Linked DNA regions of Schizosaccharomyces pombe. The protein of the gene in region 3 interacts with the protein of the main gene of each other region in a pairwise test. Each region holds a gene or a part of one and is shown on either strand. Other genes may lie near its edges. The genes, in order: his2, spk1 and urh2.

Region 1 (4,098 bases), on a different chromosome or scaffold from region 3:
TTCCAACTTATTGATACGACTGGCATAATCTTGAATCCCTAAGGCCACTTGCTGCATAGACATGTTTATTTGATTCAAAGATTGTAGTACTATTAAGTCAGACTTCCAACCACTTGGGAAATTCTAAATCTCACTTACCTAGTTGAGAATTTTGTTGTTGGACTTCACTAATAGATCGTCCTAGTTGACCGATCGTTTGATTAACTACCTCTTGTTTGGTATTCATTTCAGCCAAACAACTAGCAATTTGATTGCTCTGTGACTTTTGATGCTGTTGCATATCTTCGGCTTGCATTGCCAACTTGCGAGACCATAATTGAGCAGCTGAAACTGAATAACTCATTATTTAATGATCGTTTCCGTTAAAATTCCCGTAACGCTTAATTGCAGGTTTGGTTAAAGGGAATGTTCGTTTTCACTAGAAAAAAGTCGAGACACGCGACGCGACACCAACTAACTTCAGGTTGAATTAATGGATAATTACTCAGTATATTGGATGCCCATTCATACTATTAAAATTAAATTGAAAAATATAAAATAAAATAAAATAAATCATAACCTAAAAATACTTTGTCAAATTTAGTACCAAACACAAATTTTATTTTAAGCCGAATCCTTAATTAGGTATACGTAAAAAGGAAACCCCTTTCAAAGTCTAACTCCCCGAACACGAACAGCATCGGCATGCGCAGTGAGACCCTCCAACTCAGCAAGACGAATAACAGTAGGGCCCAACCGCTGGATTCCTTCTTCAGTGAGCTCTTGGGTAGTGATATATTTTAAGAAGCTATCGGTACTAACGCCAGAATAAGAAGAGGCGTACCCGTATGTAGGAAGCGTATGGTTGGTACCAGACGCATAGTCACCCATACTTACAGGTGACCAAGGACCAACGAAAACGCTACCAGCATTATCTATTTTGGGAATGTATGAAGAAGCATTTTTTAAGTGCAAGACCAAGTGCTCAGGACCATACAAATTAGACCATTCAAAAGCTTGATCAACATTGTCAACCTGTACAATAACCGACTTCTTGATAGCATGTTTGATGATATACGAACGAGAAAGTCGTAAAGCGTGATCATTAATTGCTTTTTGAATACGGTCAAACATTTCGGGAGATAGAGAGACAGTCAGCAAAATGATCTGACTGTCCAAACCATGCTCTGCTTGAGACAATAAATCCAAGGCAACACTTTCAGGATTACAGGTCTCATCTGCTATTACCAAAACTTCTGAGGGACCAGCAGGAAGATCAATAGCAACTAAAGCCCCGTAATCATTCTGAACATGCATCTTTGCAGCTGTAACAAATTGATTTCCAGGGCCAAAAATTTTGTTAACTTTAGGAACACCGGATATTCCATATGCCATGGCCGCAATTGCTTGCGCCCCGCCTGCCAAAATAATAGCCTCAGCACCAATTTTATTTGCAATATATACAATTTCAGGCGCAACCGTACCATCCTTTCGGACTGGCGTAGAAATCACTACATGAGGACAGCCAGCTACCTTCGCCGGAACTCCAAGCATCAAAGCAGTAGATGGCAACACTGCAGTTCCTCCAGGGATATAAAGACCAACTCGGTTAATAGGACGAGACATCCGTTGACAGACTACACCACGCATGGTTTGAACAGCAATTGTAGGACGCAGCTGTGATGAATGGAAAGCAAAAATATTGTTAAAAGCAATATCAATATCCTCTTTAATCATTGGGGATATTTTCATTAAGTCGTCGTCAAACGGAGCCTTTAAGACAGCCGACTTCAATTGAACCTTTTCAAATTTGGAAGCATAATCTATTAGAGAAGCTTCTCCTCTTGATTTAACATCCTCGATTATCGGTTGGACAATCGTACGAATTTTTTGAGTGTTCTGAATGGGTCTTGCAAGTAATCGTGTACGTTCTTCGGCGGTTAATGCAGCAGCTCTATAAGAAGGCACCTGAATCTCGTATTCCGGCATTATTAAGTAAATTAAAGGTAGTCAAGTCTAAATCGACTCTCTAAAAATTTAATGCAATGTTGGCTAAGGAATGGCTGGATCGGTGAATACTCGATTTCCCTTACAGCAAAGATCTAAATTTGATATGTCTTCGGATAAACCGCGGTTGCAACTTTTTATCCGCGGTAATAGAATTAACAAAGATCGAGAGAAACAAAAAAAAATTTATTAAATAATCGTAGTTGTATTATTAAAATTAATCTAAAACGTTTCATCTTCATTGGCATTACAATCTTTAGTATAGTGAAGAATCCACGAAAGCACTTCTTTATGCCAACGTAGGGAATTATCAGGTTTAATGACCCAATGGTTTTCGTCTTCAAAGACTAGTAATCTGCTAGGAATTCCCTTGTACTGCAAAACATTGAATGCGGCTATTCCTTCACTTTCGGTAAGCCTGTAATCCTTTGAGCTATGAATTACAAGTTCAGGAGTGGCCCAATAATTCACAAAATTTGAAGGATTCCAGCGCTCATAGATAACTCTGTTTTCCCAAGGAGTACCCCCAAAATCGTGAATAGAAAAATAAAGTTCTTCAGTATTGTAAAAAGTATTGAGGGTATTAAATACCCCGTCATGACATACAAGTGCACGAAATTGACGACCTAAAGGGTGTCCTTGAATCCAATTAATCATGTAACCACCATAGGAAGCACCTAAGGCAACCATTTTTTCAGAATCAGCATAGGAAAGATGATTTTTTATGTACTCAACACCAAGTTCAATATCTTTATATGGCTTACCACCCCAATCAAGAGCAATGGAATCGGTAAAACGTTGTCCATAACCTGTAGATCCAGTAGGATCAAGAGCAAATACAATAAAACCAGCATTAGCAAAAACTGCAGGATTCCAGCGCGTTGACCAACTATCTGTCCAAGAACCTTGAGGTCCCCCGTGTATAAGCACTGCTACAGGATATTTTTTAGATTTATCAAAACTTTCGGGCTTTACAATCCATGCATGAATTCTGTGACCATGAGTGCCAGGAAACCAAATTTCTTCATAAGAAGTTGGCGATAATCCGACATTGTTCTCGAGTAAAACACTTTCGTTTAACGTTTCAACGTTAATCTTTGCGTAATAAGGGGGATTGATTAAAGATGACTTCGTAAGCCATAAGGAAGAAGATTTAGGGACACTAATAGAAGAAACAGAGTGTTCTTCTGTCATTGGGATAACTTGGTGGTGAAATATAGAAACAAAAAACAAAATTTGCTTCCCATAATTCTCAGCAATAGCAAAAAGACCTGGTTCGCCTCCTTTGAAAACCCCCCATTCAATGCTGGAAGGCGATCGGTCCCAATGACGAGCAATGTGCTTTTTAGCGCCTGACTCGGACTCATATACCATTATTTGATTTTGATCGCTTTCGTACTGTGGTGTTTGCATTTCAAGCCATGCAATATGATTTCCATCTTTGGCTAGTCTTGGTGAAGAGCATGCACCCTTCGCAGTGCTCAATGACTTCAGATTCCGAGTGTTCAGATTAATCTCGTAAACAACTGTCTTTGTTTGTGTTGCCGGATTTAATTTCGGGTCTTTTGCTACAAAGACAAGTTTGTCGTAGTTAGAATCAAAGTCAGAAAGACCTCCGAAGGGTTCGACAGGAGATTCCAAGCCAGTTTCCTTCAACAAATCAATAGCTTTTTCTGAGGAAATTTCAAAATAATTTGAGTTTTCCGTTTTTTTATCTAGCTCTATAAAATAAAGGGTATTCCTAGATCCTGTGTTCCATCTATCCCAGTGTCGAACAAACAAGTGATCGTATACGTGAACATTTGAAGGTCCCTTAACTAACGAATTATCCACTGAACTAAAAACGATTCTATAGTGGTTGTTCTTTTCTCCGATCCTTATATCAGATATTGAAGAGTTATGATTATATATGATACGCTCTGATCGATTGTTAACGTCAAAAAGAAGGATACTCGATGAGCTAGAATTATCTTCTCTTGCATATAAAAAAGCTGAATCAGTAATCCATGTGAGCGCTTTGTTTGATTTGCCGTGTACTAAAAGCTCTTGATGGTTTCTAGTGCTTTCATTCAAAAGGTAAATTCCAGAGTTATATTTGTGATCAGCAAAGGA
Region 2 (4,495 bases), 660 kb from region 3:
GCTCACTGGTCAGAATAAGCGTAGAATAGGTTGAGGAACTAGATGACACTGTAATTATTTTTTTACATTTCTCAAATTGTAAAGACAAAGCATGAAAACTGCTTTGCTATTGAAAACCAAATCACAGCCTTTCGATCCATATGTGGAGGCCTTTGAAAAATATGGAAGAGATACAGCCTTCATTCCTGTGCTGAGACACAAAAGGGTTCACGAAGAACAGCTTAGAGATAAATTAAAAAACGTTCGTAAAACTTATTGTGGTTTAATCGTTACCAGTCAACGAGTTAGCGAAACTCTGGATGAAGCATTAAAACAAGAAGATGAAACGGAGAGGCAGAAAATATTGATGGAAACACCAATATTTACAGTAGGTCCGGCGACTGATGATAGTATTCGACGTCTCGGTTTTCAGCAAACACATGGAAAGGACTGTGGAAGGGGTGAGGTTTTGGCAGATTTAATTGAAGAGTGGTATACTACGACTAAACAACATAAGCCCTTACTTTTCCTTGTAGGGGAAAAGCATAGGGATATAATTCAAAGAAAACTGGGGGACGACAGAGTAGATTCATTAATCGTATATGCTACGCAAGAATTAGAAAATACAGAAACCCAAATAAAGGATACGATTAGAAAACATCCTACAATTGATTGGATTGTCGCATTCAGTCCGACATCCATTTGCTCTTTATTAAACACATTTGAATTAAAGATCGCAACCATTGGACCTACTACTGGAGATTATCTAAAGAAGCTGGGAACTCAACCGAACGTTGTATCTCCAGCACCTAATCCAGAGAGCTTGGCATCCAGCATAGTTGCCTTTGATGAGGAGAATTCTAGTTGAAGCTTTTTATCTGAAATTTACTTCACGAAATATTAAGGCCTTCAATACCGGTATTTCGAGATCTTCTTTGTTACAGTATAAATCGACGAGGTTGGGAGGCATGGGGGATGCTGTAGGCTCATCACTGGCATCATGATAAGCAGCTACATACGGGTGCTTTAGAGCCTCTTCTGCAGTTATACGCTTATCAGGATTAAATGTCAGTAATTTTTCTAAAAGGTCAATAGCATCTGGTGATGCCTGAGGAAAGAGTGCTTTGAATGATACTTTAGGAGTAAATGGAAGACTTTTAATATATTTCCTCGCACGTGCAGATTTAATTCTTGAAAAATCGTCCATAGTAGGCGTTCCTAGAATGTTAAGGATTAAAGTAATTTGACTATGATAGTCCTTTCCTGGGAACAATGGTCGAGCAGAAAGCATCTCAGCAAGTATACAACCAGTACTCCATAAATCAATAGCTTTGCTGTATTCTCGGAAACTCAGCATAATTTCCGGTGCTCGATACCAACGAGTTGCGACATACTCAGTCATAAAGCCAGGATTTCCGCCTTGAGCTGTGGTGGAACGTGCCAAACCGAAATCGGCAACTTTGAGATCACAATTGGCATTTAGTAGTAAGTTTGATGGCTTCAGGTCTCTATGAACAACTCCAGCACTATGCATGGCTTTCAGAGCGCGCAAAATTTGATACGTAAAGTATTGACAATGATCATCGCTTAAGGGCTGCGAACGTATAACACGGTACAAATCCGTTTCCATAAGCTCTTGTACAATATAAACATCTTCCAATTCCTGGTAGCTCGGTGGTGGAAGGATGTCTAGAATTGAAATTATATTTTCATGACGAAAATGTCTGAGTAACTTGATTTCCCTTAAAGTTCTTAGACAAAACACAGGATGATTGAAAGGATGTATTTTTTTAACAGCCACCTTTAGGCCGCTGGGTTTGTGAAGCGCGGCACATACAACTCCATAAGCACCTTGACCGATGAGATTGATCATTTCGTATTCCTCTGGTAGCTCAAAGTTTAGATCATGCGTGTGTGGGCTTCGACTTGTAGCTACTGACTCCTTGTTGGAATTCCCATCCGCAATAGTAGGCGTGGAAGTAGCGCTCGCCATTAGACTACAAATTGAAAAACTTGAAAGAAATGAAGCGATATGAATAGATAAATAGAATTAAAAAGAATTACAACGTTCTTTGTAATAAATTATGTTATGCAATCCTTTGTGCTTTAAATCCGACAATATTGAAAAAAGTCGGTTTGCCAGCCAAAGACAGAAATAGACAAGGATGTATTAGAAATCCCTTTATCAAATTAGTTTAGTATTAAATTAAATAATGCGAAAGAAGGACGTTCGGCAGCACTTCAAAAACAGGCGCTAGCAACAATAATACAAATATTAGGTTGCAAGCTTATAAAATATAGGAATAACAAAAGAAATAGAAAATATACAAAAATCGTAAAAGGGAAGAATTTCAAAAAACCAGACAAATGTATCTTCGCAATTGAGATTAAAGGCCCACAATGGTTATTCAATAAAAAAATGATGCTTCAAATATTGCCAAGCAAAGATGCCTTGAGGGAATTGCAAAAGCGTCCTTCAAAACCGTCTCTAGCAATTTCTCAATTGCCCTTCCAAAACTGTTGAAAAGCTGTTGGTAATTGTTAAGTAGTGTGGTTGGACTAGTCAACATTTATAACTTACAATAACAAAGAAAGTTTCTTTGTTAATGTATTGCCCCAGAAACTTCATAGATACGAATCTTTAGACAGAATAAAGAAACGATGAGTGACATGAAATCAAAAAAGTAACACACATTTTAAGTGCGCGACGCGTCGCGCATATTCTTTGTTTACACTAACTTACAAACCTTCCATCTACCACGACAGAAATTAAAGGCAAAGAAATGCAATATTTTAAGACTATCTAAATCGAAATAATTAATTTACAAGGTAAGCAGAAACAATTGGTTATGCAAGGATATTTGAATGGGTTCTTGAAGAGGTTGAACAGAAACCGTATGATGGTTGTTTAATTTTATGTTCTCGTAATAATAATCTTATGAAAGTTTAAAAAGCATGAAAAAAAATAGATAAATCCGTTGAAACTCTCAAACAAAAATAGTTAAACATTCATAAATTTCCCTTGGCGTCCTTACTTCATCATGAATTGGCTAACCCGTTATTAGAAGGCATTGTAAATTAATGATGTTAGCTATCGACATGACAATAAATGAAAACCAGGGAACACGCTCAAATTTGGAAAGTCCTACACTTTCATGTAGCAGTAAGGGTGCAATGCAAGAAAGAGACGTTATGTTTACAGATCACAATACCTTCAATATCACTAATAATAAATCTCGGCCTGGAAGTTTAATGAAATCTATGAAAAGAAAAGATGTTTACGAATTTGATGAAGATAATGAGTTTGAGTTTGAAATGGGGTCACTTATACATAAGCCTTCACGTGCTCACTCCTTAGGAGGAACTAGTGAGCCTGTGTCAGATGACCATAAAGATTGTATGGAAGCTACACGACAGTTATTGGAAAATAGTCCACTTTCCTCTGTCGTTGTCAAAACATGTAGTGATCATGCATCAAAGCGTAAAATTGCGCGATCCTCTTCTGACGATTCTGAAAGCAAAGTTGAAAGCACAAACTCTTTCAATGCAAAGAAAAGAAAGGATGCATGGACAGAGGAGCATGAAAAGTGGTTTCAAGCAAGGATTGATGAATTGTTAACGATTCGGTCTATATCACGGGAGCAAATGATCGAGATATTGGAAGACGAACATGCTGGGAGTCGACTTCAAGGGTTTTTAGAGTCAGTAGCATCTTTTCTGAATCGAAAAGAAAATAGTTTACTAAAGTACATGCGTGCTTTTTTTCAAGTCGCCGGTTACGAAAAGATAGACATTGGAAGCTTGGCTGCTGAAGAGGATTCGCAACTTAATTTTTCTCTAGAAGACGCACAAGTGATTCAAAAAGTAGTTTTGTCTTATTGTAATAATGAAGGCGTAGATTTACAAGAGTTTGGCTTCCGGATGAGTTCTTCAAGCTTAAGACATACAAATATCAACTTTCTATACAACGAACTACGCGAATTGCTGCCTACTTCTATTTCAAGAAAAGGAATTATTCGTTATTTGAAGGAAATCTACAAGCCGTTGGATCCGAAAGATAGGAATGCATGGGAGGAAAGTGAGCTAAAAAAGCTGTACACCCTAGTTGAACAAGAGGGAACGCGGTGGAACAGCATAGCGAACAAACTGGGAACGTCACCTGCCGCGTGCATGAGTCAATGGAGGTTTGTTGTAGGTACTAGTACTCAGGAAACAATTGATCGGCGCAAATTATGGACGAATGAAGAGGAAGCAAAGCTATTAGACTTGGTAAAGTCTTCTTACCGGTCGTCTTTTCACACAAAAAAAATGACAAGCCTTTTCACACACAATAATCACACTACTTCAAACATACAACGGGAAATACCGGCATCTGATTCCATTGCATGGCATAGCATATCGAAGAAGCTTGGGACTAAGTCGCCGGAAAGCTGTCGAAAACAGTACGAAAAAACAATCGCATCTTATTCTTCTAACCAACGTCAAGAGGAGGATCAAGGGAAGAAAAGGAAGAAGA
Region 3 (4,134 bases):
GTTAAAGAAGAGGAAATTGAAAAAGATGACGAATCAGCTACCACAGAAACTCCTGTCAAAGAAGAACCTACTGGTGAGGAAACTGAAGCAGATCACGAGGAGAAAGCCTCTGTTGATCATGGTAATTTTTCTGACAAGACAACTAGTGAAGCCTCTTCCGCGTCTGGTGATGAGTAGCTACTTTCTCCACCCTATATGACCATAAATATAATGTCTTTGTATACTTTATTCTTGTTTTGCTATTACATTTATTCTTATCTTCCCTTTTTTCTTGAATTTGTTTTCAGAAAATATTCTCAAGCTACTTGTACATAGGACTATAAAATTGGCACATTAATTCTAGTATTTTTAAGCCTTTTCTTCGACTTAAGAATATAATACGTTCTGGTTGTTCATATTGAGCTTTTTTAAAGTGCCTTATTAATGTACTATGAAAGACCAACTTGGCGTCTACTGATTTTATTTGCCAAAATGATGCTATTGACAATTCTACGAACCTATCACTTACTCGTACACCCTTTTGTTTATAATTAAGCATTTATTTATACATACTTTGTTGTTAGTATTTAAATTCAAATAATGATATTTTTATAGTCTAAGATTTTATAAAACTATATGCAATGCAAAAGTATAAACGTACTTCTTTGAGTAAAAAAGAAAGTATTTGGTTTTGTATTTCCAATGGATGATATAAGAGGGCATGATGAATGCTTGAAGTGCTTTCAAAATTGAAAATGAAGGGAGAACTTGATCGTTGTAAAAAATAAACATAAAACACTAGTCGATAATGTCATAAATATACTACAAATAATTGAGCCTGTCTATAACTCCAATAAACGTCTCCCAAAATAATGAAACATCAGCTTCCAAAACAACATGAACATTAGCCGGATACTGATTTTGTTGCGACCATACATCACAGACAGTGCGACCAAGAGTGAGAGAATCTAAGCTTACAGTCACATACATAGAACGCGAGGTCCACAGAGATGGCCACAGCGCCAAAGCAACAGCACAAACGTCATGAACGGGAACACCGTTTCGAATTCCGTAGACATTTTCATAAGTTTGTTGAAAGACAGTCATCAATTCTACCAGTGTGGAACTAAATGGGTTGCTATGTTGACGCAGTAACTGAATAATGTTTGCATCTAAAAGTACTTTATGAGTGACATCTAGCGGCACCATAAATAGTTTGCCGATAAGTGATTTAGTCTCTAAAACGAGCCTAGCTGCCTCAGGATCAGCATACACGTTGAATTCTGCTTGAGAAGTAATATTTCCAATGCCTGTGCTACCACCCATAAATATAAACCTTTCTATGTTGTCGGTAACGCTTGGGTACGTTGCCAATAACAATGCAATGTTTGTCAAAGGACCGGTAGCTACGAGAGTGACAGGCTCTGGATAATTAGAAATAGTGGTATACATAGCGAACACCGCATCAGGAGTAGCCTTCTTTTTGGGATAATCAGGAAGCAATGAAATCCCTGCAAGCCCATTCGTACCATGTATGTGAGTAGCGAACGCGGACTCGCGCATCAAGGGCTTCGCTGCGCCAGCATGAACATCAACATCTTGATTTAAAAGCTCCATTACCGCTAAAGCATTTTTGGTAGTAAATTCTAGCGTTGTATTACCATGTACGGTACTAACACCCAAAATTTTACAATGTCCAGCGCAAGCAGCCAATGTTAAGGCGACAACATCGTCATGTCCAGGATCGCAATCGATCCATATGTTATAGTTTTCTAATGCGGAGCCTTTTTGGAATGAATCAATTGTGTTAGTCATGGTGCCACAATAATCACTAAGCTTAAAAAAAAATCGATTAGTACTAGCTATGAGGTTTTTTATGACTTTATTACTTTGGACATCCGAAGATAATATTCTTGCTGGACGAGGACACAATAAAATATATGGCTAATAACCTTGCAAAGAGATATGTGGTGTTGTGGTTTAAAAATGGTAATAAATATTGCACAGATGGATAGCCTAGTAGCCCCTAATGCGGAAATTGTCTATTCAACCGACCTTGTAAGTAGACAATTAATGTATCAAAAATGCCGACGCTTGAAATCTATCTTCATCAATTTTCGTTTAATTTTCCGCTGTTCTGGATACATTTGAGTAACGCACTGCAAGAGAGTGGCTCACAAAACGTAGAAAAACGTTATTTTGACTTATGATTTGAAATTTATTTGCTACGGTTAGTGTTTGCAATGACTTTCCGTTTAATTCCTGAAACCATTTATCAACAGCTAGCATGATTAAAAACTAACCGAATTTTTTGTTTGCTAATGAATAATAATGTTGGTTACATCCATATGTAAAATGTTATCGGAATTCTTAACAGCTGGAATTTTTACTTTTGAAAATGCTATTGCTAAAACGAAGTAAAGATTTGTAACTTCAGCTAATTTGTTAACTTATTAAAGCTTGCACAGAAGGTAGAAGACAAAACATTATATCAATGAAAAAACAACCCGTTTATTATTGATAAGTAGAAATAAATACGTGCTCGCTTTAATTAGTAGATCAAGATTTATCAGGTATTTTTGAATTTGTAAATAGATTTTACTGAGACATAATAGAATCTACCGTAACTAATGTTGCTTCCATATACCAAGCTTAACTGTGAGCAGAAATAAATTAGTTTTTGTCTTTCGCTCTACTCTTTTCAAATCAGTGTAGTTGCTTCTTCCGGCCAACTGCTGAGAAAAGCTTATGTTTTTCTTCCTTTATTGATTTCTTCCAAAAATACATAGTTGCTTATTTTTCTGTAGAGCATTCAGTCAAAGGAAGTTCGTTGAATTCAAGGCTTTTGCTTTATTATTTTTTCTTAAAAAATTATGGTTTTGAATTTTAATAATTCAGAAGATTTGGTTCAAGAATTATGTAGACTCGTGATCAAAGAGTTTGCATATTCGGAGAAAAAAAATCAACTGTTAGATCAGTTACATTCAAAGCTCCCAAATCTAATTATGATTTAACTTCTTGGAGGATCTGGGAACAGGCATTTCGTTTAAATGTGTCCAATAGCAAAAAATGTTTTGATACTATATCTGGACATAGAATTACTTTACCTACAAACGCGCGTGGTTTGTTTACTGGCTATGACTATGAAAGTAAAAGACATCGCATTGTTATACGTGGGTACGATAAATTTTTTAATATTGATGAAGTCCCTATTACTACTTGGGATGCACTTTCTCAACACACTAAAGGACCTTATGAATTGACAGTCAAAGAAAATGGTTGTATCATATTTATTGCAGCTTTGCCAGACGGACAGATCATTGTTTCTAGCAAGCATTCTTTAGGTATTGTGGAAGGACAATCAGTCTCTCATGCAAACGTTGGGGAACGTTGGCTTGAAAAACATTTGCAAAGTGTTGGTCGCACTAAACAAGAGCTGGCCCATGAACTACTTCGTAGAGACATGACTGCTGTGGCTGAACTCTGTGATGATGAGTTTGAAGAGCACATTCTTCCATACACTGGAAATTCTCGTGGACTATATCTGCATGGATTAAATCGGAATTGCCCGCAGTTTATTACTGCATCATCCTGTGAAGTTGCTGAATTTGCGGAACAATGGGGATTTATGAAAGTTTCTTCATTTTTTATGGATAGCATTCATGAGCTCAAAGCCTTTTTAGAAAATGCCTCTAAAGATGGCAAATGGAATAACAGGGCAATCGAAGGGTTTGTTATTCGTTGTCATTCTGATCATTCATCTCTTGAGCAACAATCTTCTAATGATTTCTTTTTCAAATATAAATTTCCAGAACCGTATGGCATGTTTCGTCAATGGCGTGAAGTCACCAAAATGTTAATATCTGGTAAAAAGCCAAGTTACACAAAATATAAAAAAGTAACGGCTGAATATATTACTTTCTGTGACAAAAAGTTTAAGGAAGACGAGGATGCTAAACGATTATATATGAGCAATAAAGGTATAATTTCTTTACGAGATGAGTTTTTGGTGCTTTCAAAATTAGATCTGATGCATCTTTCCGTTTCGAATGACAATGATTGTGGGAAAGAATTCACCTTACTTGTACCTATCGCCACTATTGGTTGTGGTAAAACTACGGTTGCTAAAATTTTAGAAAAGCTTTTTGGCTGGCC

The links.
Region 1: the proteins of urh2 (region 3) and his2 interact in a two-hybrid assay, tested with the Schizosaccharomyces pombe proteins (one large-scale study listed by BioGRID).
Region 2: the proteins of urh2 (region 3) and spk1 interact in a two-hybrid assay, tested with the Schizosaccharomyces pombe proteins (one large-scale study listed by BioGRID).

What each region holds. Positions count from the first base shown.
Region 1 is NC_003423.3:2,157,787-2,161,884, reverse strand, and holds his2 (histidinol dehydrogenase His2), read right to left. Parts: upstream 2,041-4,098; 5' UTR 1,969-2,040; coding exon 649-1,968; 3' UTR 594-648; downstream 1-593. Other genes in the region: meiotic recombination protein Rec15, read right to left, coding at 1-89, 139-343; ppp16 (acylpeptide hydrolase), read right to left, coding at 2,209-4,098. UniProt on the Schizosaccharomyces pombe protein: Catalyzes the sequential NAD-dependent oxidations of L-histidinol to L-histidinaldehyde and then to L-histidine.
Region 2 is NC_003424.3:2,998,997-3,003,491, forward strand, and holds spk1 (MAP kinase Spk1), read right to left. Parts: upstream 2,523-4,495; 5' UTR 1,973-2,522; coding exon 854-1,972; 3' UTR 848-853; downstream 1-847. Other genes in the region: hem4 (uroporphyrinogen-III synthase Ups), read left to right, coding at 92-847; RNA polymerase I termination factor, Myb family Eta2, read left to right, coding at 3,061-4,495. UniProt on the Schizosaccharomyces pombe protein: Involved in mating signal transduction pathway.
Region 3 is NC_003424.3:2,342,475-2,346,608, reverse strand, and holds urh2 (uridine ribohydrolase), read right to left. Parts: upstream 2,089-4,134; 5' UTR 1,795-2,088; coding exon 802-1,794; 3' UTR 565-801; downstream 1-564. Other genes in the region: negative cofactor 2 complex subunit Bur6, read left to right, coding at 1-177.